Struthio camelus: one gene and its partner. Each later gene encodes a partner of the first gene's protein in a complex. Links are inferred from orthologs where the notes say so. Each region holds a gene or a part of one and is shown on either strand. Other genes may lie near its edges. The genes, in order: NSMCE4A and NSMCE2.

Region 1 (15,868 bases):
AGCAGAGAGCCTTCTACCACAACCTGGAGTACATTTCACAACTTGAACCTTCACAAAGATACCACCCCCCCTAGTTTTTGGAGGAGCCTAGTTTTTGCCATCTCTCTCCTGCTTGCTTAGCTTTGTACCAAGTCACACAAAATGACTAGCAAGCAAGTTACAAAGCAAATTAGTTTTCGTGTAAGGGGTACATTGTCTGCAGGCAGACCTATGAACATGAAGTATTGCATTGGAATCGGGGGCGTGCTTTTTTATTTTTCAGTAGGCTGTTTGGCTGGTTATGAACAGATGTCCTTTCTAAGCTGCACCACAAACCAGTGCCCACAATTCAAATGCATCCAGTCACTGACAATTTCCTTTCCCAATAAATAACCAAGCTATAATACAACATAGGTCAGCTACGACCTTTTTTCTGGACTAGGCTGCTTTAAGTGTCTTTCCACAGCTTGCTCTGCGATTGCCAAGATGCTTGACCAAGAATACCAGCTAGATAATTCTGGAGCCCTTACAAAGCGGGTATAGATGTCCCTGGACCAGGGAGCCCAGGCCTGCCATTGTCACAGATCTCTGTTTTAAAGATGGACACATGCATGAATATGGACGTACATGTAAAGACCAGGGTCCTGCAAATTAAGTAAATGAGGCTTAGACCTTCTATCCAATAACCTGTATGAGTTTTCTAGCCACCTGCCAGCCCTTCTACTTTTCTCCTTCCCAAAGGTCTTTAGCGTAACATTTATGGATATATGCATTAGCATCTAGCTAATTCATCTCTGAATCTATAATAACAGATTTTTAGCATGAAGGGAGGGAGAAGATTTTTTTCCTTAACTCCTACGCTTATATCAGGTTTCTAACCCATTCTCTTGAGAAGTATAAAGGGAAAAAGATGTATTCTTAGGTCATTAGCAGCTTGATCCTGAATAGCTGAATCATGGTAAGTCCAAGCTTTAAGCAGTCTATTTTGTTGATAAGATCAGATATTGCAGGAAGTACCAGCTTCACAATGCAGACAGACTGTGCGACAGGAGCACCTCCATCATTGTCATCCTGTGTCTGTCGATATGATCATTAATCTCTGTGTGAAGATAAACCTATCTTGTTAAAGGTATATTACTTGAAAATTAGTTTCCACAACATACTTGACAGTAGCAATATAAACCCTTTTTATTAAAAAATTCCAGAAATAATTTAAGTGGCTTGTGGTCTTTTGTTTTGACAACATATGTCAATATAATTTTGTTAACATTTCAGTATAATAATAATCTAATTCTTATTAATCTCAAACTAGAGAAGTACTATTTTAACCTGGTTAGATCTCCTAATGGAAAAGCCTAGAACTGACTTCAGCTCCTTGAAGATCTGTAAAAGGTTTGGGTTGCCAAAAGTAATGTTGTACCCCGAGATGTGCAGAGTGTTCAGAAGTAGACTTTATTATGCATGAAAGGACAAAACAGGGTAGCCAGTTCTCACTTAAGAATATGGTTAAACATCTGCATAATCTTTCTGATGAATAGCTAGCTAATATTATCTCTGAAATTCTGCATATGAAACACACATTCTTGTCATTACATGGCAACTTAAAGTCAACAAGCAGTCCCTTCTCAAACAAATCCTTAGAACTATTTCTGAAAAAAGAACAACAGTAGGAGAGCGCCATATTTTAAAACTACAGCATTTGCAAATAGCTATTACAGTCGGTAGTGTTGCAATATGTTTTAAAAATACTTATTTTAGGATATGCACATTTTATATTTAGTCCCTTTGTATTAGAAAGATACTGAGAAAAGTAAGCATCATCCTGTACACTACGTTATAGGTTATATGGGTTGTAAAACAAATTATGCAAAAGATCATGAAGCTACAGAACCTCAGAGGAGCAGCTTATTTTTCTGGTAAGCAGAAAAGTTTCTTATACAACACTTACTTTGCCTTTTGGTAATGTCTAAAACATAGTTAGCACACTGTTTTCAGTCTGGACATAATTTTAAGTTTAAAGGACTAATAAAAAACTACTTACCCAATTTTTCCTCTAGACTAAAAATGAAAAAGTACCACTCTGTCTCAGATTTGTGTAACCTTCTGCACTCCTTCACTCCTTGTCGGTGTATGGATCCCCTTTCTGCCTGGATCACATGAAAGTGTTCTATTAATGTGAATTGGCTCATGTTTGAGAACACTATGCTGGACAGCTATGAAGTGTAAGGAATCTGACCCAGGGAGCTGTAGGGCTATGACACATCAGTTCTTTACAGGAATTCTCAGTTGCTGCATGAGAATAACATGAGATAGGTCCTGTAAAGTGGGTACAGTCTGCCGCCGTCGTCGTCAGCGTGCTGTTTGCTTAAGGCAGTGAGACAAGTTCCACGATAAACAAAAGTAACTAAAATCTTCTATTCTGGCTTTTCACTCCAGGACTATAACTACTACGTGTCAAGCTGTCTCTTGCACCTGACTAACTCAGTAAGCTAAATTTGGGGAAACTATTCAGTTGAGCACATGACTAACATCTATAACCGCAGCGTTGCTAAAAGCGATAGCTGCCTTAAGAAAAACATTGCAAGTCAGCCCTGCTCTGCGTATTTCAGGAGGAGTATTTGTGCTGGAGCTCCGCACAGGCAGGCAGGGTCTGGGAACGCTAGCAACTTACCTGGCAAGAGGGAGACGAAGAAAAAGCCGAAGGCTCCTGCCTCCGTTCCCTTTGCCTCTGTTTAGTCGTCTTTTGCTCCTACAGTCAGGAAAGAGAGAAAGCAGCTCGCCTCTTCTCACTGTGGATGAAATGTATCTCTTAGCCCGCTTGTCCGAATGCAGTGGTTGAAGGAAGACAGTCCAACAAGAGGGTTTACTTTGCTTCAGTGAGGACTAGCCTTAACTATTTGATGTACAACTAGAGAAACGGCGACCCTTTTAGGAAAAAAAAGAAAAAAGCCACTTCAGTATAGAGCTGTCTTAACTATAAATCCCCAAAGCAGGTGTCACTGGAACAGGAAACCTACACCAAATCATAGAAATAATCTGTAAGTGGAGCGTGTTTTCAGTGACATGGTAGTTTTGACAAACTCTCCTTTGGAATAGCTTATTTCAGATATGAAAGACATTATTTCTTTTATAACAGGTTCTGAGTTACAGGCCTATGAACAGTATGATGAAAACATATCCAAACCAGCACAAGATGTGAGAAAATGATTGCTGCGGTAGGAAAAAAACTATCACAGAAGCACCTAGGCTTAAATTAACTGTTGTCATGTTGTTGGCAGTTGTGTAAAAGATGATAATTGCAAGAGACTGTTATAAATAAAAATGAAATCCTACAGATTGTCTGGGTATACAAAAATTATTAGCAAGTTAAAGTACAGTGTCCAAGTAAGTGCCACGTTGTTATGCAAAATCCTGTGGTCAGAGCTCTACAAAGCACTAATTCGCTCTTTTTTGCAAAAATCTGTCATTGCTCTGCATTTGCTTTTAATTCCTTTTTTCCTCCATTAGAAATGTATTGGATGGACCACCAAGGCAGCAGTTGTCTGGCTAGTCTCTGCACTCTGGTGCATCAGTGATGTATGGATACGCTTCCTGCTCCTTCCTGCAAAAATGTTTTTGTAGCTTCCTAAAATATATTGCTGTTTGATTACAGGGGAAAAGTTGCAGGTTTTGAGTATGTTGGTCTCTGGCAGCATGACTCCTGCATGTTGATTTAGCAGCTTTGTGTCAGCCTTCCAATCAATGAAACCTTCCAAATCATTTAAAAAAGAACTCCTGGTGCCAGTGAGGGTTTGATTCTGCCAGGGGCTTTTTCCCATTTCGGAGCTCCTGACACGCCACAAGACTAGGCCCCAGTTTTTTTTTCAGAGTTCTATTAATAATTGTTCTTTCGCCTTCCTTGGAAAATGCCTTCTTAGACTGGCACAATATATACTGTGATTTGATGGGCTGTAACCTAATCCACTGTGCTGAAAGTGTATCTAGAGCCAGATTTTTGACTCCCACAGGATTAACTGTAAATATGGAATGAAAAGCTTTTGCAAGAAACAAGTATATAAACTTACACCTCTATATTGCAAAAAAACGATTTTTGAAAGTTAGCCGCACTCGTTAAAATATATCCCCTCATCTGTGTTTGCTTGCAGAGCTGGCAGCTGAATGGCAAATATCTCAAACTTTTTATTTCTGATGTTTTCAATTAGTCTAGGCCCCACTTCAGCTTACTAGGATTATCTTATGTCAGCAAGAGCCACTCTTGGGATGGCTCTTGGTTGCAATTTTCTTAGGTAATGAGTTTCTTGCTTTATCTCCTTGCAGCATTTATTTTGGAGTATACAAGGGAAATGCAAAAAGAGTGTAACTTTAAAACCACATGTGACGTTCTGGGCAGTGACTAAACTGTCTCATTTCAAAATCTGTGTTCCCGTTAAGACTTAGGAACAGCTGCTAGCAGATTGGGGCTCTCTAAACCAGGAGACTGATCCTTCAGAACTGGACAGGTGATTCAATATTTTGCTAAATCTAACGGTGGCAGATCTGCAATTTATTGCTTGACGTGAACCAGCATGCTGGGCGGCTCCCAAGCTGTCTGAGATGCAGAGTCAACACCACAGGTAATTTCCTTGTTAGCACTGCAGAAAATAGAATTATTGCTCTGTGTTTGATGACAATGGAAATTGCCTGTTCTTGCTGAAATAGAGAATCCACTTAAGCTGCTCTGTAGTATAGGTTATAAAAAGTATGCAGCCCTAATGTGTACAGTCAGGTGAGGTCAAAAAAATATAACCCACACATAGTTGCGTTTGTTAAGCCTATTTTTATATCCTGACATCTGGACTTAGTAGGAGGAGAAAGTGCACATATGTTAAGTGCATATATATTAATTTCTTAATAATATCCCCCTATATTTCTGCTTTTTCTGAAGCTGTGTATTATGAGTTAGGTCACAAAAGACAGTGGCGTTATTTTGGAAGCTGAGGTCCAGGACGTAAGAGGTGATATTGCATATGTTTTATAAATTAATTGTAAGATAAATAATGTAATTGTTAAATTGAGCTAGTGGCAAAGGAGGGAGAATCTGCCGGTTGCATGATGCTGCTTCTGGTTTCCAGTTGTTAAACTGTATTTGAAAATCAGCTTACTATATACTCTGCTCATGTTTTCTTAAGAAAATAATTGCCAGTGGGATGCCATATGACTGTGAATGGAAGGGGAACAGTACTGTGAATTCTCATGAATAACGCACAATATGCTCTTGCCATAGCTGTTACTGATCACACAGTGGGTTGTCCCCCACAGCCTCTATCACGTGAGTCACTGTTCTTAGCCCTCGTTCTTCTGCTGTTTTGTGTCCTTCATCGTCTGTATCAGGAACCCACTGCCCACACTACTGCTACAGTGCGGGTCACAAATCATACATCTGATAAGACAGTTTATAGGCAACTGCAAGTGCTGAAAATGGAGCCAAAATAAGGGATCTGGTTTCTGCATGATTTAGGCACCTGCTTCTTCTCACTGTAATCAACAGGACTCAAGAACCTGCCTTTGTAGATCTAATGCAGCAGAAAATATGTGCCTAACTAAACGTTGGAAAATCTATGCTGGCACAATAGGTCTGGGTCACCCTCCAGTCATGAGACAATGCACTAAGGTTTGCCCTGGCTGACGCTTCCACCTCTGATTCTCTGTTCTCTTGCAAGAACGTGCAGGTGCTATACCTTTACAGTTCATGTTTGCCAGATTCAGTTTCTCCAGATGTCCCAAGAGGAGCTGATGCTTGGTTATTCTGTCTGAAACTGCCAGTCCATTCTCTACAATGGGAACATGGAATAGGAATTAGGAGTCCTGAAAATATCCACCTTCTATCTCACAAATACTTGCATAACCAAAGAACCATAGGTTATGTGCTATGATAGACGGTCCACATGGAGAACAGCAGTAGGCTCTTTCTTTCTCCCATTCCTACCACTCCCAAGTAACGTGTACAGCTTCAGTGAAAGAGATTTTTAGGGCAAAACTGAATACTGAATTCAGAATAAACTCCACTGATCCTAAGGGGGGTGGTCTTATTTCACATAATACAGGTTGCTGTAGGAATCTTACAGTAATTGTTGCAATTCTTAGCAGTACACAATATTCTTGTTGAAAGTGAATTTATATGCGGCCCATCACTTGTTTTACCATTAAGCTTTGTAGTGTTTAATTTTTCGCCAATGTGGGTTGCTACTTTAAGAACACTTTTTGCCACTTTATTGTACAGTATGCTTGAGACAAAGAGCAGTCTGTGGCAGATTTTGCTCTTGTGCCCAGTGAGTAAAAGGCACTGCTTGTCTAAGTACCACGAAAGGTCAAATATGACTTAATAAGCATAGACTTCAAGAAAGGAAGCATCATATTCAGAAACTGGATACCACAGGATTTTCTCGGGAGCTAATGAACCTTTCACCTGTAGAGCAATACTTTGCCTGCCACCCAGCTCAGCATTTTGTATTTTGCACTATACGACAAAGGCTTTGGAATAGGGAATATTTCTTACTATGTGTCTGTGTACTGCATTGTACAACAAACCTCAGTCTTCTTTGGATCCTCTCTTGAGACTTTCTGTGTTAAGGTCCAAAAGCGTATTACTCATAAACAATTTGCAACACAAATGCAACAGCACTCTATTAGTCACAGGAAGTACAAGAAACAAAAATTGTACAATAGCCCAAACCATAATTCAGACTTTTTTGTACTGCAAAATGAAGTATTTCAATCATATATTTTTGAAGGACGGTTCATGCATATTTTTGAACTTTGCAGTCTTCAGCAGAGGTACTGATTTGGGGAAGACAAGGTGGAGCCATACCACTGTAGATTGAAATAGAATCTGAGCTACGAAAAAGTCTTAGAATACATGGCAAAAGTTCCCAGTAGAACCCAACACACCTCTGGATTGCCCAACTACGTTATGAATGCATAAGAAAATGCTGAATTGCCTAACACGTGCTATCAAGATAAGAGGATTGTAAGTTGGCACTTTACCAGGATGGAAATCACTGCTTTTATATGTGTTCTTGAAAAAAAAATGGGGATTCATCAATATAAGAATATGTTTTCGTTGTTGCTTTTAATGAGCTGCCCTCTTAATAAAATTACTTTTATTTTCTTTTAAAGTTAAAGAATACTCAATCCCAATGCCTTTTCTGTAATATAAGTTGTATTTCATCCTGTTTCAGGACCATGAAAAATTCCCAAATCTCTTAAAATGCCAATTTTCTTTTTAGCCACAATGTCTTCTTTTTCTACTACTTTTAAGAACATACATCAGTACTGAAAGGAGAGTCAGTCAGAAGATGTAGTCTTACAGTGAGAATCCAGTGTAATATAGTTTGCTTCAGAACCAAATTAAAAAAAGGACTTAAATTTGAATAACAAAAAAGTTGCTTCTTTCTGTCTCTCCAGGTGCTTGACCAGACAACTTCTAGCATACTGAAGCCTTCAAGAAGTCACTGTAAAACAGACCATAAACAAAAGCCACACTAATGGAGAAAAAGGCAGGTTTTAAACAGGATTCTCCCCTGTACATCTTCTACAAGGACAGTTAATAACTTTCAAAACCTAATGACATAATTATGACAGCAGGTGCAGAAACAGATTTGAAAGGTAAAGTTATGTGCACGTGAACTACTATCACAGGTAGTACACACCAGATGTGTAAGCTGCATTTATCTAGGGTGTATGCCAAACACCCTCTGTCCAAACAGGCTGCAGCTGTTCTTCTGCACTCCCTCTCCTAGTTCACGGTTTACTGAGATTGTAAGAGTTTTTAGGCAAGCCTCTCCCTATGCTTGAACAATACCTAGTGCAGTGAAGCAGAGACCATTTGCATTACTGTAACATTACGAACTCTATGATTAAGGGGAGTTACATGCTGCAATTAGGAAAGCAGGGATTAAGCCTTTGGCACATATGGCTGTTCTTAATTTCTTCCAGATTATAGCAACTTGACGTTATCACATATTCATTTAATTCTCTTTGCGCTGTAGATTCATCAGAATCTTGTGCAAACTCTATACCCACAATTCAAAAAGACTGCTAACAACTTTTATCTAACTGGAGCAATTACATAAGCAAGTGTGGTTCAAGGAACTCTGAAGTAGGCTCTTCAGGACATCAGAAGAAATCAGCCAGCACACTCCCTGAACAACTGATACTTTTACAGCAGTTCTACTAGCTGGGGCAAAGTAAGGGCAATTCAGGATGTTATTTGGCCCGCTGCTTCAGGTTAGAAGCCAGATTCACCGCTACACTTGGCTGCTGTCACAGAGCACCCCCCAAAACTTGACTCTAACGATGCTGGGAGAAGAGCAGAGAGAGGAGAAACTCTCTATTAAAAATACTTTTTAGTCTGTATCATAAAAACCTCACCATTAAATGACATTTTTAATATAGTTGAATTTTCCAGACTTGTAATGTTTGACTGTGCGTAATTTAAACATTATGAAGACCCGTAAGTTAACAATATATATTTGCACCACTTAACTCTGCTTTAACGTTGTTGTCTTTTGTTTAAACAATGCCACCACATTAACTAATTTAGGAGTCTGTCGCACTTCCAAGTACACATTTGTTACTTTGTCAGAGCACAATCCCTATGTAGTGATTAATCTGCACATATTATATGGAAACATATGTATTGAATATGCTCAGTCAAGTATATACTTCATCTCTCCAACTTTCACCGCATCTGTTCCTCAGATGTTACAGAGAAGCTTAAAAGTGGTTGAAAGATTTGTTACTGTCATGTTTATCTTTAAAGAAATTTCCAGTCCTTAACAAAGGTGAAAGTTCTAAGTAATTTGTTTTATTTTTAATAGCAGATAAAAACAGACAACCTGGTTAACCCAAGATGTAAAGAGTTACTAATATTTAATGAAGGCAGTTTTATTTACAGAGCCTTTTTTCCTTTTTGGCAACTATAAAACATCTTGCAATGAAAACAGGAGTTGTCATTTTCCATCCTGTGATGTGCTGTGTATCGGTACATGCACTGCCCTCTCCTGGATGAAGCACTGGCTCTTTGTCGTGCCTTTCTGTGACAGTGGAGCCCCGATTGCTGTTACCTCGGTCCTAAGTAAGGTGTTCTCCTGGCTCACAGCAGGCACCTCCGTGACCAGGGGCTCTATCTTCCAAATAAAACGGACCGAGGGCGCAGAAGCTGTAGCGTACGATAAAGGAGGCCTCCCTGGCTAGGCTAGCTCTGCTCGGGTTTTCTCGGAGGTGAGTTTTACGTCAAGTTTATGTGTCAAACTCTAGTTTATAAAGCCTCTGTGGCCGCACAGGTAGATAGTAACCAGGGAGCTTCGGCTTGTACGTTCCCTCCACCCGCTCCGCGTGCGTGACAAAACGTCTCCTGCGCAAGGACTCGGCGTCTTCCTTTAAACAGAGCTGCTGTTTATGGTGGGAAAAACAAAAGTGGAGGCCTCCCTTCTGCGCAGACACCTATGAAGCTCCTGTTGCCGGGAAAGCGGTACTGCCTGCCGTGTGAAAGCCCACGCTGCCAGGCAGGCGTCTGGAAAATGGCTCACGCGTCAGGACGTTTCCGCGGGGCTCGCGTTCCCGCCTGCAGTTTGGGTTGGCGTGAGCAAGGGACAACTGGCAGCTGAGGAATACAGCTAGGAAGGCTGTATTCAGGGACAACTGCAGGCAAACTACCTGGGAGGGTCAACTACAGGTAGGCGCCTAGGGCAGGAAGAGGAGGCGACGCCCCCTGTCAGGCCGCTGTTGTGGCGCGGGGGCGGCACCGGCCCCGGGGCGCCGCCTCACGCGCCCGCCGGCAAATGGCGGCGGCGGCTGCGCGCGCGCGACCGCCCGCCCGCCCGCCCGCCCGCTCGGGACGGCTCAACCGGGGGCGGGCGCCCCGGCGCGTCGCAGCGCGGCAGGCAGTTGCCTGCGGGCTCGGCCTGACTCCCGGCTCCGCTCCGCTCCGCCCTGCGCGGGCGGCAGGATGCCCCGGCCGCGCTCGCCGCTACCCCGGTTACCACGCCGCCGCTAGGCGGATCGCGGCGGCCTCGGCCCGGCCCCGGCCCCGCCCCGCTGCGAGCGGCTCCGCGCTTTGGCCCTCTCGAGCCGCCGTGGGGCCGGGTAACGGTGTCGCGCAGCGCCGTTGGCGCCTTCTGCGGCGGCCGGGGCTGGGCGGGCCGCGTCCCGTCCCGTCCGGTCACCCCCTTCCCCGCGGCGGCCGGTGAGGGCCCGGGGCGCCGCGCAGCCATGTCTGAGGCGGGCGGGAGCGGTGACTTCTCCTCCCCGCGGAGCTCGGGCTCGGACTGCAGCCGCCTCTCGCTGCCGTCCACCTCTCGCAACGGCGCGGTGTCCGAGCACAAGCAGCAGCGGCTCTCGGGCGGCCTCGGCCCCCCGCGCCCGCCGGCCTCCGAGGAGGAGGAGGAGGAGGAGGAGGAAGAGGAGCCGGAGGTGGTGTGCGAGAGGCCCAGGCGGCCGCAGGGCGCCGAGGCCACCGGCGGCGGCGATGAGCGCAGCAGGAGGATGATCCGCAACCAGTACCGGGAGCTCATCTACAGCGTGCAGCGTAAGCCCGGGCCGCGGGGCCCTCGGGGGGCGCCCGCCGCCGCCGCCGCCCTGGGCGGGCACGGCTTGCCGCCGGCGGGCATGTCTCTTCTCCCGGAAAAAAACGAGGCTTGCCAGCGGGGGCAAGGGCCAGCGTTTCGGCGCCGCGCTGGGACCGTGGCTTGATCTTGGGAAGTAGCTTTTCCCGGAGCCTGAAGTTCTTTGCTGAGATTCTGGCCTCGTGTTTAGCTGGGGATTTGTCCGCCTGAAAGCGGGGGGTTGCGGAAGGGTAGAGAGCTTACAGGGGGGTTTACCTGCACGTACCGTGCATTTGAGTGCCTTGATGCAAGGAGGGCACGTTCCTTGAGCTAGAGAAGTGCCGCAAGCTCTTAAGGTTGCGTTCGTTGTGCTTGAGAACGAGCCTTAGCTTGGAACTGCAGGTCCCAGGATCTGCCGATGCCAAAACCTTATCCTTAGGCCTTTTGGAAAGTGCCATGAACTTTTTAACAGTTTTCTAAACAAACATATATGTATTGTTTTACTTCTTCCATCCATATTTAGAGTGTGCTGTTTTTCTCATTGCTGTATTTTTGAGGCATGACAATGCTTGTTTGAGTAAGCACTACTAACTGCAGCAGCTCCTGATGTTGGTTGTCTTCTGCGTGCTCGCTAAACTTACTCGATTTTGTTTGTTTTCGTTTTGTTTCGTTTTTAAGAGATTGCAACACAGTTTGTGGATGATCCAGTTTCCACTTCTGTAATCTAACACTTTCCAAGAAATGCAATAGTGTCATGTCTGTGCGTTGAGTAATGGTGTACATTCTTAAAACACTTAGGTGGGGTGAGTAGCTGTTTGGAATCGGACATCTGAAAGTCTGTAAATCAAACATGCACAGGTGCATATAGTATCTGTTTGACAGGATGATTGTTAAAAATCATCAAGCGTTCTTTTTTTTCCTGATAATCCACAGTAGTTTAAATAGGTGAGACAAATGACATTCAGTAAACTACAGGACCTGATAAGTGCTTTGACACAGGTACAAACAATAATTGGAATTATAAGGAATCTGACATTACAAAGTTTGGAGCTTTTTAGTAAAATGTATTTTGGAGTGATGACGTTGGATGTGCATAATTCATACAACTACAGTAGATGATAAGGTTCCACGTTAATTCCAGCCATGTGAATCTTGTTCCATTGATGTAAATGCAAAGTTGCCACTGAGCAGGTGAGTGAGCATTGATAAGAATCAGGCCTATGCAATCTCACAGTGAAAGTATTGTAAATAGTCTTGTACGTTTTGAGTAGGCTGGGGTGTGAACCAGACAGTTTAGCTTTAAGTTGCAAGTATGTGTTTATTGGTGTCTTTATGTAATTTGGAGTTTCATTTGTAATTTTCCTTTCTCTCTTCTCCCCTCCCCCCAATCCAGAAAATCGTGAGGATATGCTGAATTCAAAAAGCAACAAACTGACAGAAGCTTTGGAAGAAGCCAATAAGCTGTTCAGTGGAGGTAAAAACAAATTCTGTAACCCTTGTTGGAGATGATTGCTTGACAGTTGGCCAAGTATGAAGAGATGATGCCTTAACTTAAAAAAACAAACCAAAAATGGTATGAGATTTAATTTAGATCCAAGTACTTTATCAAAAACATGAAATAACTTGAGATAAATAACTTTAGCTGAAGAGGATTTGCTTGAATAAGGTGTTACCAGAATATAAATATCATTACTTTAGTGTTATTTGTACTTGGAAACGTTTTTTGCTTTATCTTTATAGAGCAATATACATAAATAGTACACAAAGTGGGTTCACTTCTCTTTACTCAGAGGAGAAAAACATGTTAATGAAAAATCCATTTTCTTCTTCCAAATGATGTGTTAGACCTCCCAGCTTGCCTTTGGCTATGTCGTCATCTTCTTTTCTCCTTTTTGTGGAAATAGCAAGTGTTATGCTATTTGTTGTGTTAGAGGTCACTACAGTAACCTCTACAGTTACAAAGCTGTAAACCTAGGGTATTCTGTATGCTAAACTTTACTATTATATTTTTGACAATTAGGTATTATTAACATACACTTTTTTTTCTTCTTCTGTAACAGTTTCCTGTGCGCGAGAGGCTGCACTGGATGCCCAATTTCTTGTCTTAGCATCAAATCTAGGAAAGGAGAAAGCCAATGAGTTGCACTCTGAAATGACAGCGTTTGATTCACCAGCATTTGCAGAAGACCTAGTAAGTTCCAGACTCGGAATTTGCCAAGAACTTTACTAGAGGTTTGCCCTTTTTGTTGTAGATTCATAAAAGTAAATCTGTAGATGGTCAGGCAGAACCTGACTGATAGAACTTAACATACTTCCTATTACTTTCTTTGATTAAGTTTCTAGTTAATATTGTTGTTGTAAACTATGTATTTAGCATTTCCAATTTACAGAGGGGAAAACGTAACTTAAGAATGTAGTCCGCACATATAGAATAACTGTACTTTTGCTGCTCCATCACAGTTTAGTTGGTTCATGCTCTTAACCAAAGCAGAGAGATGTTTGTGCCTTTTTGTTTTTTTGGTGTTTTTTAAGATATACAGTGTTTGGAGTTTCATGGCAGCAAAGTAGTTTCTTTATCTTGTTCACTGCTTTGTGTGTTTTTGGATGGGGTTTTCAAGGTCCTAGGTGACTGATATGAAATGGGACTTTGGATTGCTTGGATACTTTTAGCCATCCTATGCTTGTCTCTTACACTGTGACTGGTTGGAAGAGTCAGTTCAGAATAGCATTGCAACAGACATTTTTCTTTCAAGACACTTTTTGTGTTATGTTATGGTAGATATTTAAAGAGTCTGAGTCAAGATTCTACGATATAAGAAAATCAAGTTTCATTTTTTTATTAAAGTTTTCCTGAGGAGGGGTGGATTGATGGGTGCAGGGTTGGGCCAAAGAAGTTGTTTTATGGTATCTGAAAAGCTAGGCTCCCTGGAAGTGTGTGGTGTTCAGAAATTGTGAGATACTTTCGCTTTATAGTGCAATTTAAGTAATGCTTTCCTATTTCATAGATCACTGAAATTCTGTTGGAGTACAGACAGTTTTACTTGTGTAGCTCTCTTTTTCTTTGCTGCTGATCCTGCGTAGTGATTATTGCAAACATGCAAAAAGCTCTGCGCAAGTGGAAAGCTCTCACATTGGTTCCTTACTGAAGACAGAGTCTGTGACCCAGTGCAGCCAGTGAAAGAGTGCAGCTTGTAATTGTTATTAGGTTAGCATTTGGGCTTAAGCTTATGGTTAGTGTTATTGCAATCACTGGGGTGATGGCAGTTACCAAATCTTGTTCTCGAGTTCACTACAGGAGACTGCATAAGAAGCACTATCCTTTAATTTTCTTCCTCTTTCTGATAATTCAGAGGATGGAGAATCCATCCCTTTACAGTTACTTAGGAGTGATGATATTCTAAATAATTAAGAACAAAAAAAGCTGCCTGTATTCTTTAGTGTTTATGTTATCGTCTATGAAGTAAGAAAGATTTATTGAGGAAAGAAAAACCTTTTTATTGGGCCCAGTGAAATCTTTGGAAAGATAAGACTGACTAATATCTGAAAGCATGTTTAAGATCTCTTGAAATGAGATTTAACCCTAACCTCCATTTTCCTGAAGTCCATGCATTCTCTGACACTGAAGTTTGTGTTCACTGGTGACTTGCTCTTTTGATAACAGCTGCAAGTCGTTCACTTAAAAGAATTACTCATTGCTAAATACTAATATTGAATTCTGTCACCTAATTTAGTTTAGATAAAAATGTATCCTAATAGGAAGTTTAATATCAGATGCAGCGTGGCTGCTGTCTGCAATGCTGTGCAAGTCTATATGTGTGTTTTCCTGTTTTCACTGCAACTTTGGGAAAATTGACGTTCTTTTGTTATGCAATGATATTAAACATTAATCTAGCAGAACAAACAGCATAACAGTATTTCACCATTAATGCATCTACTGATCTTTCTTTTAAGTGAATTTCCTTTTCAATTTCTTTCTCTTGTAGCTAACATTCATGGGTCTAAATCGCATAGAAGTAGAAGAAAAGGATAGTGATAATGAGGGCATTTCTGGTGGCTATTTACCTAGTAATGCCTGGCATAAACTGGGAGCAGAAACAGAGAAGTACTTCAGAAGAGCACCTTCTTTTCACTACATGTAAGTTTATTTGAGGAAAATTGTATATACTGTAGCTAATGGCCTTAATTGATGTTAATTCTAAAAAATAATTTTGTACTGATTTTTAGTGCCCTGGGCTTGAGTAAAGTTTAGTTTCAGTTTGCAGGGTGCCAATGGGGACTTCTGCATGGCATCTGTTGTGACAGGGAACTTCTCGTCTCCTAAGTATCTCCTACTATATTTCTCTTTGAGTCTGACTTGGCTTGGATACAAAATAATACTTTTTTAAATATTTTAGGGATAGCAAGGTATTCGTGAGTTATGTCTTTCAGACCTAAACCAGTAGACTTTAATCACCCTCTTTCTTTCCAAAGCTGACTGATTGCTTTCCCTCCCCGTACAAGCTGCAGCTAAAAGTGTTAGAAGATCATTCATTTCTTTACTAGGGCTTTATTAGACCCTGAAAGACTAAACTCATGTATCTTTTACCTGATGATTGTATTATGAGGCTTTTTTCAAAGGGAGATGAACAGTCTTTTTCATGCATCTGTGTTAATGGGCTGTCTCTTAGTAGCTTCTTTTCAGCTCTATCTTTGGAAGAAATCTCCTGATTACTGGCCAGTGTCCTTGTATAGAATCAGTATCCCCTCTCTTTTTGTGAGGAGGCCTCCTGTTTAAATCTCAGCCTGCAATAGCGCTATCTAGTACCATCAAGTTTTGGTGATAGAGCTGATAAAAACATTTCAAATTCATACTTGCACTTTCAAGGTAAAAGCCCTAAATGATAAATATAATACTGTCCTAAGAAAATTATAAAAACTGCAGAAGGGACTTTTTTTTTTTAATTTCTCCTTCTGTGTAGTTGAATTTTGAGATCTTAAGTACTGTTGGACTTCTTGTGATGGAAGATGTGAATATTAGCAGATATTAGAAGAGTGTTTATTTTAAATTACAGTCCTTGTAGGAAGAGAACTACTTAATTCTGACTCTGTCTATTATTTGAGGTTCAAATTCTTTTTTCTGTGGTCAGTCTGGTGTTTTTTGAAATGGAGCAGTGGCAAATTACCCAATATAGGGTATGCTGCTAAAATTCTGGATACCTGCTGAGCTAACTTGAATTGACGCTCGATTCACACTCTTATTTAGGCATTTGACTTGGCAGCCAAAGTTAGTGCCTAAGTTGCTGATGCAATCATCAGAGAGAGAAAGG
Region 2 (15,703 bases), on another chromosome or scaffold:
GTCAGTAGGAAAGCTGTTCTCCACTTTTGTTTAGTAACACTCTGTTTTCCTGTAAATTTTTCTGGTTACTTTATTAAGTGAATTGTTCAGACTAATAATAATAAAAAAAAAAAAAAAAGATAGGAGGCTGCTGCCTACTGTCATCAAGAATAAGCTGCAAGTATCAAAGGAAATAACACCTTACAGACATAAGATACTTCAGTAAAATAAGCTGCATTTAATCTGTGTTTAGCTGAAGATTTCTACTTCGATCTAACTTTTTCTGCTACAATTGGGAAAAGTATATTAACTATAATTGTGCTTCGTATAGAAGCTTTGATTGACGTTTTTAATTATCAATTGTAAGCAGTACAAAACAGAGATCACAGGTTGTACTATCTTAATCTGAAGGCACACAAGCTTATTTTAATAAAGAAAACAGGTAATTTTGACTAAAAGTGTTGAAAGACTTGAGTAAGATTTGTAGATTAAGAAGTACTTTAAAAGAGCACTCTAACACTTCGCTATTCCTTATCAGTACCATACATTATGTCATAAAATTAGCTTCTTCACAACTTGCCAAAAAAGTTTTCATTTTTTGTTTGCAGAACTTTTTGCACAGCTTAAAAAATTATTACCATAAACATGGTACAGTGTCTACAGAAGCACTTTTCCTCGTATAAGTTAACATGTCTGTCTATAGTTTGAAAGTGTTTTCGATAGGGTCCTTTTAAATTAATGCTCTTGCATTTGTTTATTTCTTACGTGATTCACTGATCTTGAGATGCTGTTTTTTTAGCGTCTGTAAATGTTTTCAGCTATCCAGGCTTCACTAGAGGTGTGCCATTAATTATAGAAATAAGATCGTTTGGGCCACCCTAAAGAAAGAACCCTGCTCAAAAGTAAATGCTTTGTTGAAGCTCATTTCCAAAGAGGTCATATAGAAGAGACTATAGAGTTCAAAGAGTAATCTCTGAACATACTTTCTTTCAATTTTTATTCTTTATTCATCCAATTGTCATAGATAAGAATAGTAATATTAGTGCTTCTTTTTAGTCACATTGCCTCTTAAGGGATGATCAATCTCTTTTCAGTAACTAGAACAATGAGAATCTTTGAAGGAATTGATGAGAGTTAATAAAAGTCGCCAATCATTTATTTTTTTCTAGGCTTCACAGTTGAGTAATTTACCCAAGAAACCATTTGATACTCAATTTTAGATTCCTCTTCTGTCTCACGCTAACTTACCTGGTTATAAATGTCATCTGATCGTAAGCGGCCAATAACCATGCTGATGAACGTTTCACTTATGGGTACCCTGCTGAAGTAACTCTCAGGGTAGTTTGGAGGCCTTTTAGCTCCAGGCTGGCTCGAGTACCCAGTGCTTCGAAGCAGTTTACAAATATCATCTAAATTGGAATCAGCAGAGGATCGGGCTGCGCTGTTTTCAAAAAGGAAAAAAAAATTAAGCTGTACGACCTGACTATTTCCTCCTCTCCTTTTCCTCCTAACCCTGCCTTTGTCTCCAAGAAAGTAATCAGATAGTAAGGTTTGGGAGACTTTTGTATGCTTACTTCCTGAACATAATTTTCACCATATTACAGAAGGACACTGACAAGTGCCCATACTGGAATCCCGGATAAGCGTACAAAACACAAACAAACAAATCCAAGAAAACGTTGTTCAGGGACAGAAACGACTACAGTTGCATTCAGAAGAGGTTCATTTGTCCATGCCCCACCTTTTCTGAATTCCCCTTCTTGCTCCATTCCTGTATTTCAGAGTTAAGGAATCCTTTGTCATTACACACTTGACAGCCATAAGCACAGCCAAAACACGTACAGGGTGCTCCCTTTTTTAGTTGCATTATTTGTGAAAGAGTTTGCACCGATATTCTCGGCGATTCTAGCTGTGATAAAGCAGTGCTGACAGCCTGCCCTGGAAATCTCGTTATCAGTTTGACTAATCAAGCTCTCTGACTACAAGAGGTTTGACTGTCTAGATGCTCGGGACTTTTCAGAGATTTGCTCCAACATTTGGGAATATCTGATGCTTTCAAAGCAGATACTTGTAGCTTCATGCGAAAGTTTATTTGTCAGTGGCTTTCAAATCTCTGTTGTGACAGCATGAGAAATCTGTGGCCCAAGTTTTGCAGCCAGATGTGCAAAAGCAGCTAATGCAAGGAGCTCTACTGACATTCAGACAATGATGCAGATTTATAAGGGTCTATCCGTATGGACCAAACGGTCAAAACGGTACCAATATTTCTGTTTATCTTAATTCAATGAGTTAACTGAACATACTGCATGTTACACTCTTTCAGCTTTTGAGTTCTTCTGAATACCAATCCACATTACCTGTATCTGTAGTAGGAAACCAACATTCTTTCTCTGACCTCTCCTTCAATCTTCTGGTCAATGACCAATAGCATGACTCCATATAAATAGAGTGCTTCACACTGTTAAGGAAAAAAACAATCAGAAAGAAATCAAATTAATGCAGTTTTGTAGCAACATCTGAAGACAAACAAGTGGTGACAAACTAACACAATGCAAACTATGTATATAGTCAATATAGTATGAAAAAATGGCAGGGCTGTAGACTTTGGGGCTTTGACTGCCTCAGATTGAGCCATAGCATTTCAATGTATGTGGTAAGTTTAAACCTTTGTCCATTCTTGAGACTAGATGTAAACAAAATAGACGCCAAAATATATCTGGAATTAAACTCGTTGGTTCATTTTCTACTATTACAAAACTCTTGAGTACTTACCAGAAGCTGTTTTCCATCTTCATTGAGGAGGACAGTTTCTAATGTTTGCTGAATGTAAATTCCTTCATTGAGGTCATCTAAATACCTAGGAATCATACCAAAAAATTGGTCATTGACTATTTTGCTCTTAAAGCATGCGTCCCCAGAAATCAACTGGCCAATTTTCACGCAAAGTCAGCAGACACGTCAATCACTCGTCCAGCGCAAGCAGCACACACAGGTTTTACACACAACAAAGAACAGATACTCTAATATGAAATGAGAGGCTGGAACTCGTAGCTAGGGTCAACCAGCTGGCAAATCCTCCTTCAATTTGCTAATGCTGTATGGGAAAGATACCGAAGGAACTCTGTAACTTAACAGCTAACAAATCAATCTCTTAACCTTCGCATGGCAGGACACAGCCTGAGAACAAAGTAGTCCTGGAAAGGAAAAGCTTTTTTTTCCTCCTTAAAATTTAGTAAAACTATCATATTCTCAGATTATCTCCAACAACAGCTACGGGAAATACCTTAAATTTATCTTAATTGCAGTTTGAAAGGCAGAGCTATAAATAAAATATTTCATCTTGATTAACAGATGATTTCTTCTTATTACAGGGTTTTCTAGTAAACTGCTTATTACCACAATGAGCTCAAGCTTTTTACCTAAAATCAACAACAAAAGCAATTCTTAGACTTCACACTCTCTTGCACCTCTTCCTTAAGGTTTTTTCATAAACCTTTCCTACCGTTTTGACAAGAGTAACAAACTTGAGACTATGGTAACTCCACTGAAAAATTAAATTTAGGAAAACAATACCAATGAAAGTTAAAGAAAAAATACTATCTGATTCTGTTCAATAATACGGAGTTTCTTTTCATTCATAAATCTTCAGGACAATCTCTCAGATAAAGAAGAATTAGCTCTAGCTTACGTTTATGGAAATAAAGTAGAGATGTTAAATGTTTTCAGGTCGTAGATTAAGCTGGTATGCAACAACAAGAGTAAAAGTTAGTGCCCAGTCCAGCAAGCCAGGTTTCCCAGTGCATACGAACACGATTCAAGGGCAAGCACTGAGTCTCCAAGGAAAAAGTTTCCAATCATTAAGATTAAACAGTACTGTAGTCTTTAAGAAACTCTAAATATCATTAAAAAACTATACCTGTTTAAATCTACAATGTATTTATGAACACTCTGAAAAGCTAGATAAAATCTTGTCAAAATTTCAATGTTGTTTTCACGAAATTCTTCATCTAAATCCAGTAACTCAGGCTTGGCTTCCAGCTTGCCTTCACACGCCTCAGGCCCCTAAGAAAGAAAATTCATATTTAAGAGACAATATTTGATTGTGTCTGTGACAGTCTTCAGTAGGACAAAGAATATACATGACCACTAGCATGTATGTAATGACAGAATTAACTGTTATTACTAAAATAAGGCACCTGCAGTTTTCCAAGCTACTTCATGATTAAACGGTGATCCCATAATGATGAATTCTACATTTTGCTACAATCTATGATTATCAATACGATAACACTTTGGGTAAAATTCTGACGCATCTGAAACCACCATGTGCTTTACCACGGACTCTTTTTAATGGCAGCTATCTCCTTTCTGGAACTTTTTCCTTTACACATTTGATCTGTTTGATTTCTCAAACAGAATCCAGAACATGAAGGCCTCACAGATAAGTTGTCAGCTTTGTACCTTCTCATACATTTAAACTCCTTGCAAGTATTAAACCTACGTGAGAGTTTTGACAAATTCTAGACCTAGGTCTGTGCTAGTCCCCAAAACTGGCACAGAAACCGTGTAATTAACAACTGTGTGGGAACAAGGGGAGAGGAAGACGAGCCTGACTTTCTGAAAGAAATGGTTCAAACTGTTTTAACCATTTGCTGCTGTCAACTCACCACCTTTCAGTCCTATCACTAACAGTTAACTGAAACTGTTATTAAACATCATTCCACAGAACACTTACATGGCATGAGATCACGACTTAAAAGGATTTTGTGAACAGGAACTCCATAAAAATCACTTAAAATAGGCTTAAAAATTAAATGTCAAGTCTAACACCTGGCTGACAACTTCTTAGTGGTTTTAAAAATGCTCTTCTATTTCTTTTTTTCTATGAAATGGCCACGTGAAACAAAGCATAAAAGCAGGCCCCAAACTGACTATGAAGCTTAAATGCACAAAGTAAATGGACTGATTTTCAAAATCTCAAATCTCATCACCTGATTTTAAGCATCATGATTGCAGGAATGGAGTGCTCATGGTGTTAATATCTGTAAATTCATGAAAGCCTGGTTTACAAGCATGTCTTTTATTGATTTTGTTGCAATTAGGCTGAAAAGCAACAGCAGTATCTTGCTTCTTAAACATTCAGGAATCTTCCAGAATAAATGTATTTCTGGCCAGTTACAACTTGACAATGTAAGAGCAAAGAGGTATTTGTATAAAAAAGGCTTGTAAAAAAATCTACATCTAAAGGTAATTGGGAGATCACCTGTGCTCAGGATTTTCCGAGCCCAAAGTACTCAGAATTTGCAATGCAAAAAAGATCCACAAAAAAACTCCAGCCCCCTTAAATGTTGCTGAAACAGTAACGTCTCTTTTATTGTACAATCTAAATGGAGAAAGTCAAATTACATCATCTGTAGAGTTCCTTGCAAATCATGCTAGAGAATGACAGAGGGGAAAAAAGTACTGCAAGAATCTTAGTTCTGTAAGAAAAATGAGACCTTTTCACGGACGCTACTCTTTAATTTATCTGTTGATTCAGTGCTCATGGACAAGCACCATGAATGAACAATCACAGTACTGTCAAACAGGAAAGCATAAAGCCGTTTGTATGGCTGCAAAGAAAAGGCTACAGATAACCAAAGGAAGACAGGCATACTGTGCCACAGAAAAACAACCAAGTGCTTAGGCTCAGAGCTTGCTGGTGAAAATGCAATTTTAAGTTTACTCAGGAAACAGTAATTAAAACCCCCCCAAATCCAATACTCAAATGTCATATAATCAGTCTTCTTTGAAACTCAAGGCCAGATGACTCATCAAACATTTTCAAAGCTGTATCAGGGACTGCTTTTGTATGTATGTATTTAAAGCTGTCCCATTTCCTGCCCTAAAGCTCAGTGCAGGTAGTGGTTGTACTTCTATTCTGCTTAGGGAGCTAAGCACACAATCTTCACTAGTCTGCTTCTGCTCAGTGAAATAAATAAGGTCAGGCTGAGTACCATCAGAAGCGTATAAACACAAGACAGCCCAGAAGAGGAGTGCTAGTATGCGAGCACATCCCATTTAGTATCTTAGTTTGGTGCATTTTTGGTAAATACTGAGTAAACAGGAAATTATCTTAGTCAATTCCGATGAACGTTAGCAACTAACATAACAGTAACTGTTTCCACACTTGTGAGGACATTAACACCCTTAGGCTTTCGCCCTTAGTGAAACACCCTTAGGCTCACCCGGACAACGATACTTTGAAGAGAAGTTTCACAATAAAAGAAAAGGATTTACCTTAAAATAACTGAAATCGAATATGATATCCCCATACTTCTGTTGATCAGCCTTGTCCTTGAGCCTGAAAACACCAGGAATAAATTCAGAAAGTCTCAGAAGTTCTGCAATGATGGCATTTCCACAGGAGACAATCCTAAGAATGGCCTGACCACAAAGATTATTTTCAGCTAAAAAATCAACCATTGTGGAGCTGAATGTGACCGCGTAGCAACAGTCCTGCAGTCTGCTCCCGAATGTTAGTCTTCAGGTTATTTGAAGAAGAACGTCTAATGAGAAAAGTTGCTGTTCCATTAATAGTACCTGTAAAAACAAAAACATACACATTTTGAGTGTTTCATAGTTATACTTCTGATAATTTATTCTATAGGGTTTTTTAAGCACACGATTAAATCTTACGCTTTATGAAATCTAAACGCTCCATGTTTTGTCCAAATGAAAACAACAGACTGAATTTACCTTCAACATATATGCAGTTTTGGCTCAGTCACCTGTGTGATCAGGCAAGAAATAATAGTGTGATCTTTTGTACTAGAAAATTTTAAGGTAACTATTAAAGAATGAAACAATCACAAAAACTGAAGCAATTGAGGCCATGCAGCAGACGGCAGCAAGGAAAGCACAAACTAGTACGGTACAAGACGCATGTTGGAACAAGGGAGAATCCAATAGCAAATGGAAAGAACATAGCTCCACTGCTTTATTTATTGCTTAAGGGAGAGCTTTTGTACTGTGGTTGCATTTCCTGGCCACATTTTTATTTATGGGCATTTTTTGCTGAAAGATCTGGAATGCAGCATGGCTAAAAATAAGCTGCTTTTTAATTCTGAAACATTTATGGGAGGTTATGAGCTGACTTCACTTTTTTTTTTTTTATCAAAAACCTTCTAAACCACTGAGTTACATTTAAGTTGACGAGGCATTTTCCGATCCCAGTCTGTCTCAAAATGCACACCAGGAGCCTCGTCTTCCTGCTACGCATGGAGGAAAGCATCGCTAGCACAACAAGCTCTGCTCTGCAAAGTCCCGCGCAGCTCCCAGACCCAAGTGAACAGGACCGGGCTTTAATTTACATCTCATCCCCCTCCAGTAACCTGATTCATCAGGCCACAGCGTGATTTCTTGACCGAATGGGACGTTAAAAATATGGGAGAGCCTGCAGACAGCTCCTGAAGTTGCACAAAAGCCATTTCCAGCGCGGGCGAGCCTCACCGAGGAGGACAGGCCGCCGTTTTAACTCCCTTTTCGACAGGCTCCTCCGAGACGCCAACGGCCCCCCTCAATGTCTGAACCTCCCCCCCCCCCCCACCCCCGCCCTGGAGCAACGGCCGCGCCGCGAGACCAACGGCCGCCCGCGCCCTAGGAACGGCCGCGCCGCGAGACCAGCGGCCGCCCGGCCCCGCTCAGCCCCGCCGCGGGCTAAGCTCTCGCCTCCCCGCTCCGGCGCCAGCCGCGACCTCCCCGGGATGCCGCCCCCGCTCGGCGGCGCTTACCGTCCCCGCGGCTAACGCGGTGAGCGGCGGCGAAGGGCGGACGGAGGAGGCTGCTCCGCTCCGCCGGCAACGGGCGAGCGGGCGGGGACGGCGGGCGAGGCGCAGCCCTCGGCGGAGCGGCCGCGGCAGGTGAGACGCAGGCAGCGGCGAGGAGGCGGCGGCGGCGGCGGCGGCGCCCAACCCTCCCATCACATGACAGCGCGCCGTCATGTGCCGAGGCGCCGGCTGATGAGGCGGTTCCGCCGGCGGCCTGTCCCGCCTGCCCGCGGCCGAGCGCGGCTGCCGCCGTAGAGGGTCGGCGCGGGGGCCGCCTCTGAGAGGAGCCCCTTGAGGGCCGCGGCGGCTGGGACTAGGTGAGCGGCTGCGGCTGCGGAGGGGCCCGCTTCGGCCGCCCCCCCCTTCCTCCTCCTCCTCCGGCAGGGCGCGGAGTGCGAGGGAGGGCCTGCGCGGCCCTGTTCTCCGGGCAGCCTCCTGCCCGGCGGGGTGGGCCCGGGGGCCGCTGCCCCGGCCCGTGCGCGGCTGGCACGGGGCGGCTCGGCGGGTGTTGGGGCTGCGAGGCGGGCGGCTGGCAGAGCGGGGCTCCCTGCCCCCAGGGCTCTTGTCCCCAGCTCTGCGGCGGCGAAGTAGCGTCTCCGTGGCACAGTGACCGTTGTAGGAGGTAGAGATCGATACTATTAATGAGCCCTGATCAGCTGTAGATCTTGCGTTTTGTCTCCTTTTCAAAGTTTGGAAGAATAGAGCAAAGGGAAGTTAGGTCGTTTGCTCGAATCTTAAAAATTGGTGGCAAAATTGAAACTTTAACCTTTTAGGGCTTCTGCTTTGCGGTCTTCTATTTTATTGTTGAAAGAAAAAACTGACCAGCCAGTCTCACTTGGCTCTCCTTTATGAATCTTGGTTTTGCTCATTGTATTTCCCAGAAGATGAAGGGTGGGGGTTGCAAGCTTAAGTGCTTCATTGATGCACCCAGTGAAGACCTTCATGGCAAAAGAGAGTGCCTTAAAGAAACTGCTCAAAACCCTGTTCCACTGAGGAAGTTGCCCTTTCCTCTAAAGGCAGCATGAACAGCTTCCAGCTGTAAGTTACACTTGAAGAATTAACTTTAAAAAAATTGAAAAGGAAGTCTGTGCTTGGGGTCATCAACTATTTCTATCAAGTTTAAGCTTTTGTTTAAAAAAAAAGAGTCTGTCTATGGGTACTTAAATTATCTGCCAAAACACAAATTGTGATGAAGCTACCAATGTGATGGTATGATTTAGTGTTGTACGTAACTTCAGTTCCTGTATACTCGGTGTTCCCCCATGTTTCAGAAGAAGGAAGAAGCCTTTTTAACTTTTCATTGTTATTTTTTTTTCAGATTCCTGTCTTTCACAGTGTGTGTGTTTGAAATTTCCAAAAGAACAGCAGACTTGCTCAATGAATGAGATTTACCAAGTTCAAGAAGTGAATTAGGTTCTCTCTGTTAATTTTGATACACTGAATGGGCCCAGAAGGATAAAAGCGCTAATATGCATTTACGTGACTTAACAGTGTATGAAGTTTGCATTACCGAGGTTCAGTATAAACACTCTTGGTGAAATGGCAAACAGCTGCTTTAAAAAAGTAGGTTAAAAAATTTAGTGTAACAGCCTAAAGCATTTGTTATTAAATTAAGCTTTAAGAGCATCCCTTTCCATTACTTTCAAGAAGTTCTCTAAGAAACTTTTTCCTTGTCTTCTGTTATCAGATCACCAGTCTCTTAAATGGTATTTTAGATAGCAATTGCTGTATTTTGGTGGGGAGATTAGGAGAAGAGATGAGCTGGAGCTATTGAAGATTGCAGCCTCCTTTATGACAAGATGCACCTTTAGCAGCGGGGAGAGAGAGAGAGAGAGAGAGAGAGGAAAGCTGCTCATATACATTTTAGAAGTTCAAGTTGTCATGAACTTGAACAGCTGTGTTGCTAAAAGGCTGTTGTAAGCTCGTGTCCTCAGAACAGTGTCATAAAAGATAGTCTTGAGTGGCCAAGCACATTTTTTAAAGAGAAAGAAGAAAAAAATAGGGAAAAAAAAACTGTAAGAGAGGAAAGAAGGTGGCAGGAGAAATTCCAGTCTCGTAATCTGCCTGACATTCATGTGGAAGATTGCAGTGCTGTGCAGATTAGGATGAGTGTAAGACATAGTTCTGGAATCCCAGGTAAAGTAGTAAATGTGAGACAGAGCCTCGGATATAAAGTTTTGTGCTTTCTATTTAGATACTATCCTGATTTCTGTTGGATTATAGCCTGTGAAAGGGAGTAATCCATAGAATGACTCATCTCCTTGTTACTCTGCATACTAGATGCATCTAACTTGGGATGTACCCCAATTTTGGTTTTGGATTTCATTTCTCCCCTCCCCAGTATAGTCTCAATATAGTCCCTGATAATACCAGTTATTGTTTACAAGGCCTAATGCAGTATTTCTATCTATTTAAGACTTTTGTTTTTTATAATCAATTGTTTGCCTAAAGCTGACCAGAATTTTTCTAACTTCCTGCAACTTGAAGTATAAAATTCAGCATTCAACATGTGTCTTTTACTAGCTACATGTTGTCTAGGCAAATTATAGCAGAGAACAAAAAAGGAAGAGCAGAAGATGGAACTTCTGAGAAGAGACCACCGACTGATGTGGAAAGTATGATTGATTCAAGTTATAGGGACAGTGTAAGCAATGCTACTTGAAGGTCATGTTAATGACAGAGGAAAAGGAGTTAGTCCTAGCAAGGATGTTGGTCTGTAGTGGAAAGGAAGTAAAGGTGGTAAAGAGCACAGACATGAGTCTTGTGTGATTTAGTGTTCTGTTCCAATAGAATATTGGTAATATAAACTAAATTTGTGACATCTTTGATGGAAATTCTTAACATTTGTAAGGTAGGCTTTTACTTAAGAAATAGTATTAGGTAACTTTCTGCTAAATACATTCTTAGAACAGTTACCATTTATTTGATTTTTTTTTTCTTCTTTTTCTGAGGGCTGGCTGTTTGTTGAAACAGGCTTGTAATTGGGTGAGGCTCAATTTGATGGAAGAAGTCATATTCTTACTAGCCTAATTGCAAATATATCTAGAAAACAGACAAGTTTTTGGGTACTCTTTCTTTGGAGCTGAAATAGAGCAGAAACTTTCAAGCTAACATAATCCTTGAGTATTTCGGTCTCACTGTGCTATAGCAATAGGAATGAGAAGATGAAAAACTGCAAGCTGCTGTTTGTGGTGTAGTTTTGATTAGTGTTGAATAGGAGGGGGGGTTGAAATCCTCTAGTGAATCACATTTCTACTCGTGCCACTGACTGAACTTTCTCTGACATTTTGGGAGCTGAGATTTCATCCCTGTTCTCTGATGTTTGAGGAGCCCTGTTACAGCTCTGTGTTTAGCTATCTGTACTTCTGTTTTCTCTTCCAAATGCGCTGTGTGTAAACTGCATTCAGAATGTTATATCTGTTATTTCTAGACTAATGGTTTCAAGATGCCAGGGGGTGCAACAATCTCATTCAACTGTGTGGATTCTTCTCTTTCATCTTTGAAAAACTGCCAGTCTTACATTAACACTGGAATGGATATTGCTACTCGTGTTGCCCTTGACCTTGTGGAAAGTCTCAGTAAGTAATTCCTTTGAGTATATTATCTTGCTTATATTGCTTCCTGAACTTTACAGATGGGTCCTAGGCCTACGTATTTTGACTTAGTTACAGTCAATATCTACTTCATCATAGAAACAGCAGCTCTTCTGGATAGTTCAGAGTGTTACCATTCCAATCACTTCACTGTCTTAAGTGATAAATTCAGTGAAAGTATAAACACCAAGTAACATTGTCCCGGCTTTTGTAACACTTTTAAAAGACTAATTGCATTCCAGTGTTTGTTATCTTACAGCCTTGTAGAAACTTTAACAGTGCTGAAACGGATGGACAAAGCCTTTTAAGCGGGTGAATAAAATGACTTTTCGTTCTAACACTGCTACTTTGTGTGTGTTTTATTTAATGTTTAGGGCAAGATACGTTAAAATAATACTATTGATTTTGAGTACAAAAATTGAGACATGTGCAAGAGATGTAATTTTTCTGAATAGTGTCTCTTTTCCTGCTGAAAATTAGGCTGATTTAGGGTGCTTCAGTTTGGACACTTGCAAACAGAAGTACTCTAAATCTGTAATCACTTCTGACAGTCTTGTCATTGCTGTTTTACAGCAACAGGTGCATTGCAGAATTGCTTTTCAAAGACAAGTATTTGGCCTCCTATTGCTACAACTCTTGGATCTACTGTAAAGTTTTCTCTAGGAAAAAATTAAACCTTCCAAGCTCCAAAGCCCTAAATGATAGTTTTAATTATGAGTGGAGACTGAGAGTCCTCTAAAACAACATAATTGCTGTCTTGCTCTCAACTAAGCCAAACTCTATATAAAATCAGAATGAAATTTTCTGTTTGTATACTCTCTCTCTCCGACCTTTTTATCCATATTACTGTCAGAGGTAATTGATGCCCCTTTTCAAAAGTGGTAGAGGAGACGGAAAGCTTATCTAAACAGTCAGCTGGGAATTTCCTTTGCAGTAAAACTGGTATAACCAGTTCTGTTTCCTCTCTGCATTTGAAGTTACCATCTGTCCTACTTTGCCGTAAGTGATACATGGAAATTTGCTGACTGTACTGAATTCCGGTAATCCCAAGACCTCAGAATGAGCCACAGAAGGTAGTTATTGGCAACAAAAGCTAAAAGCTGTGATTAATTTCACCTTTCAGCAGAAGTCAAATCAAGTCCCTGTTGCCATTCACATTTTGAAAGGCGGAAGGCAACTCAAACTCCTCTATGAAGGTTTGCGGCTGAAGGTGTGTGCCATATGCTTCTAGATAATTTTGTTATCTTCCTCACTTACCAACTTCTGGCATATTCATTTTAATTATAACCTCCAAATTATTTTGACTTTTCAGTAACCAAATGGGCCATATTTAGTGTCCTATCAAGAGAGGAGATCACTCTTGAAATTTCTATGGTCAGTGCTAATGGCTAAGTTATTTCATAGAACTGATTTTATTTTGGCATGAGAATCTTCCTTGTGGAATCATGACTGTAAACTATGAAGCACCACATCTTTTACATAGTGTTCCCTTGATCTACAGAAAAGGTATTCCAGGCTATTATTTGTTGCGTAAAGACGTTACAGTTCCTCTCAATTTGGTCTGGTATTACCTTGTTGACGCTTTATTTAAAGTAGTTCTCTTTCACACCACCTCTGTTTTTTTCCTTGCTGATGTAAATACATGTGTACATATAACAATTCTATCACTTTTGGGGGTTTCTTTTGTTTGTTTTTTGTTTTTCTAGCCAAATGAGCAAAGCTCCCTTACCTTTCATTTTAAGGTTTGGTTTTTCACTCCACTGACCGCTTAAATGTCATCTTCATATGTTCAACTTAGAATTCAAGTTGTTTTGTTCCATATAAATGCCATCGGGAAAGATACAGGGTTTCTGTGGCAAGATCTATTTTTGCTAAACACTATATTTTTGTTTTTTATAGTGTTTTAGAATCAGGATTGTTGAATCTGCCTGACTTGACTGTTTAATTCTTACCTCCAACTCATATGTGGCAGTTTCTGTATCTGTAGAATTATTACCCATCTATTCTACTTTGCCTTCCTGTTCCAATGCAAAGTATTCATTCAATTTTGAGCCAGCCTTAGGTTATATGCTGCTGCGTTCTTGTTGCTGTCCCATTTGCAGTTTTTTCTTCTTTCTTTCAAAAGATCATCTGGCTGCTGACAGGTTTTGTTGCCAGGCTTTGTAGTAGCAAAGAATTATATTGTGATTATAAAGTAATAACTTTCTTCACCAAGCACTCTTTCTGGGAAGGTATTTGTTTCCTTTGGACTTTCTTAGGTCTGGGGTTCATATATTTGACAACTCTGCTTTTTGGGAATAATACTGAGATAAAATTTTCTCAGGAAGTACGTGAAAGAAGTTGCATTTACATCTGGAGGTAAATAGCTGGAAGGGCAGATAAAGTTAGCATAATAAGTGGTATTGGTTTCTTCTCTTAAGTGCTCTCCTCTAAGAGCTCAATCCTGAAAACTTTCAATGTTAAGCATATTTATTAAATCGTACCAAGTAGTATTGCTGGGCTGGCTACTGGTTAAGGCAGTAGCGTGGAGGTACCTCCCATAAACCTACCTGATACTAAAGTAGACTTTTTTTTCTTTTTATGAAGGTCTAACTGAATTACTGTTCCTGACTTTCTTAGGTATAGTAGTGGGTTTGCTCTGATGTTGTATTCAAGCTGCTTTCTATAGAAGTCTAGGCAGCAAATGCCATACTTTTTTAAGAGTAAGCAGTCATTCATGAAAGAACCTGTGTATGGTTTTCTAACTTCAAACCTCTAAGCTTGAAAGCTAAGAAATATAAATTAACAAATGTAAGTTGTCTTTGATAGGCTTAACGTGCTTTTATGGTATGCCAATTTTGAGGGTGTTTCCCTGTTAAGTAAAATCACTTAGTGCATATTAGCAACTCTCAAGCTAGAAAGATCATCTTTGGTTTCTGACATGCTTAGTGGAAAAGGATATGGAGTACACTTCTAACGGATGTAAATCTGAAACAGTTCAGTGTTTCAGCGCTTTTGTATGCATCTAAGCTATAAAGCAACTACATGACTCTTCAGGTGGAGAGAAAATCAAAGCTCACTAGGGGGCAGGAGAAGACAGGAAGTAAGCGGTACTTCCGTAAAGTTACAAATGCATAGGAAAGAAACTGGCTTTTTTGCTGTGACTGTTGATCTGGCTGTGAGTAGCCGGTAATCCTCTCCAGTTGAATCATCCAGAGAGCAAAGAACTATTACACTGGTTAGGGAAGTTATTAAAAACCATTCAGAATGATTGTGAATTTATGCTATTTAAACAGATGGTGGTAGTGTTACATGGAATGAAGAGGGAGTGAAACCACTTGTTAGATCATGCTGCCAGAGAGCTGCTGATAGGAAGAGGTGCTAGACCTGTGGGCAGGAATTGGCTCAGGGTATTCAGTGATTTATAGTAATCTTGCTAGTACTTCATCCTTACCTTTCTTCAGGTGATCTCAGATGCTTTGCAAACACTGGTTAAGCCTCTCAGCTCTCTGTGAGGTAGATAATGATTACTTATACCACTACTGAAATAAAACAATCTTTTGAGTGAATAATGACTGCTGTTTAAAAACATGCTGTAAATATGTAATAATCCAAAAGAGCAAAATAATTTTCCTTTGTCTAAATGAAGCAACAGAGACTGACCAGAGAGGATAGGTACTTATTTGAGTTCAGGGACATCAGATTAAACTGCTTATTCATGAATAAATAGCACAATAGATCTTTCACACCTTTATTTTGATATAATGCTTGAAAGTTTCAGAACTGAGTGAAACGTTGGCTTTTCCTTTAAACAGTGATTTCATGTGGAGAGTGCCTGTCACTGAACTGAGACTACGCTATCTCTCAGCATCTTAATTTGTTTTAGTTAGCTGGCATACGCTTATTGACTCGCTGCAGTCCTGCTTAAAGACGAGAATTTAACTATTTCTGAGTAAAGATGGCATTGCTGCAACCCAGTGTATATACTGATGCTACCATTGATGGCTGTGCTGCTGTAGTTATGTATACTGGGCTTTGGATATGGAATAAATATATATTCATTGTATTAAAAATGAACACTTGTGCTCTTCACAGTTAACTTGCATGAGGCAGTGACTTTCTGGCAATAACAAATGAGTCTTTTAGTTTGGATACTTATGGCTGTCAGGTTTGGGGTTCGTTCTTTGTTTTTTCTCCTGAGCGTTAACTGTGCTCAGAGCTGCTGGTATTTTTCTTTATGGCGTTTGACTCTGTTCTGGAAAGATAAAATATCTCACTGGACGCAGTTATTTGCAGGAATACCTACAAGTATTAGAGAAAATGATGGAGGAGGAAGGATTCAAT

Evidence for each region.
Region 2: NSMCE4A (region 1) and NSMCE2 share a complex: the UniProt entries of both Homo sapiens proteins name them as parts of the SMC5-SMC6 complex. The link is inferred for Struthio camelus from reciprocal best matches to the Homo sapiens genes NSMCE4A and NSMCE2.

What each region holds. Positions count from the first base shown.
Region 1 is NC_090948.1:5,960,912-5,976,779, forward strand, and holds the start of NSMCE4A (non-structural maintenance of chromosomes element 4 homolog A), read left to right. Parts: upstream 1-9,843; 5' UTR 9,844-10,230; coding exon 10,231-10,546; intron 10,547-11,955; coding exon 11,956-12,036; intron 12,037-12,622; coding exon 12,623-12,753; intron 12,754-14,545; coding exon 14,546-14,697; intron 14,698-15,868. UniProt on the Homo sapiens protein: Component of the SMC5-SMC6 complex, a complex involved in DNA double-strand breaks by homologous recombination. The complex may promote sister chromatid homologous recombination by recruiting the SMC1-SMC3 cohesin complex to double-strand breaks.
Region 2 is NC_090943.1:160,975,087-160,990,789, forward strand, and holds the start of NSMCE2 (E3 SUMO-protein ligase NSE2), read left to right. Parts: upstream 1-7,960; 5' UTR 7,961-8,104; intron 8,105-8,272; exon of another isoform or gene 8,273-8,409; intron 8,410-9,105; 5' UTR 9,106-9,281; coding exon 9,282-9,350; intron 9,351-11,217; coding exon 11,218-11,365; intron 11,366-15,703. Other genes in the region: WASHC5 (WASH complex subunit 5), read right to left, coding at 1,228-1,420, 2,337-2,437, 2,752-2,836, 3,896-4,041, 6,259-6,444. UniProt on the Homo sapiens protein: E3 SUMO-protein ligase component of the SMC5-SMC6 complex, a complex involved in DNA double-strand break repair by homologous recombination. Is not be required for the stability of the complex.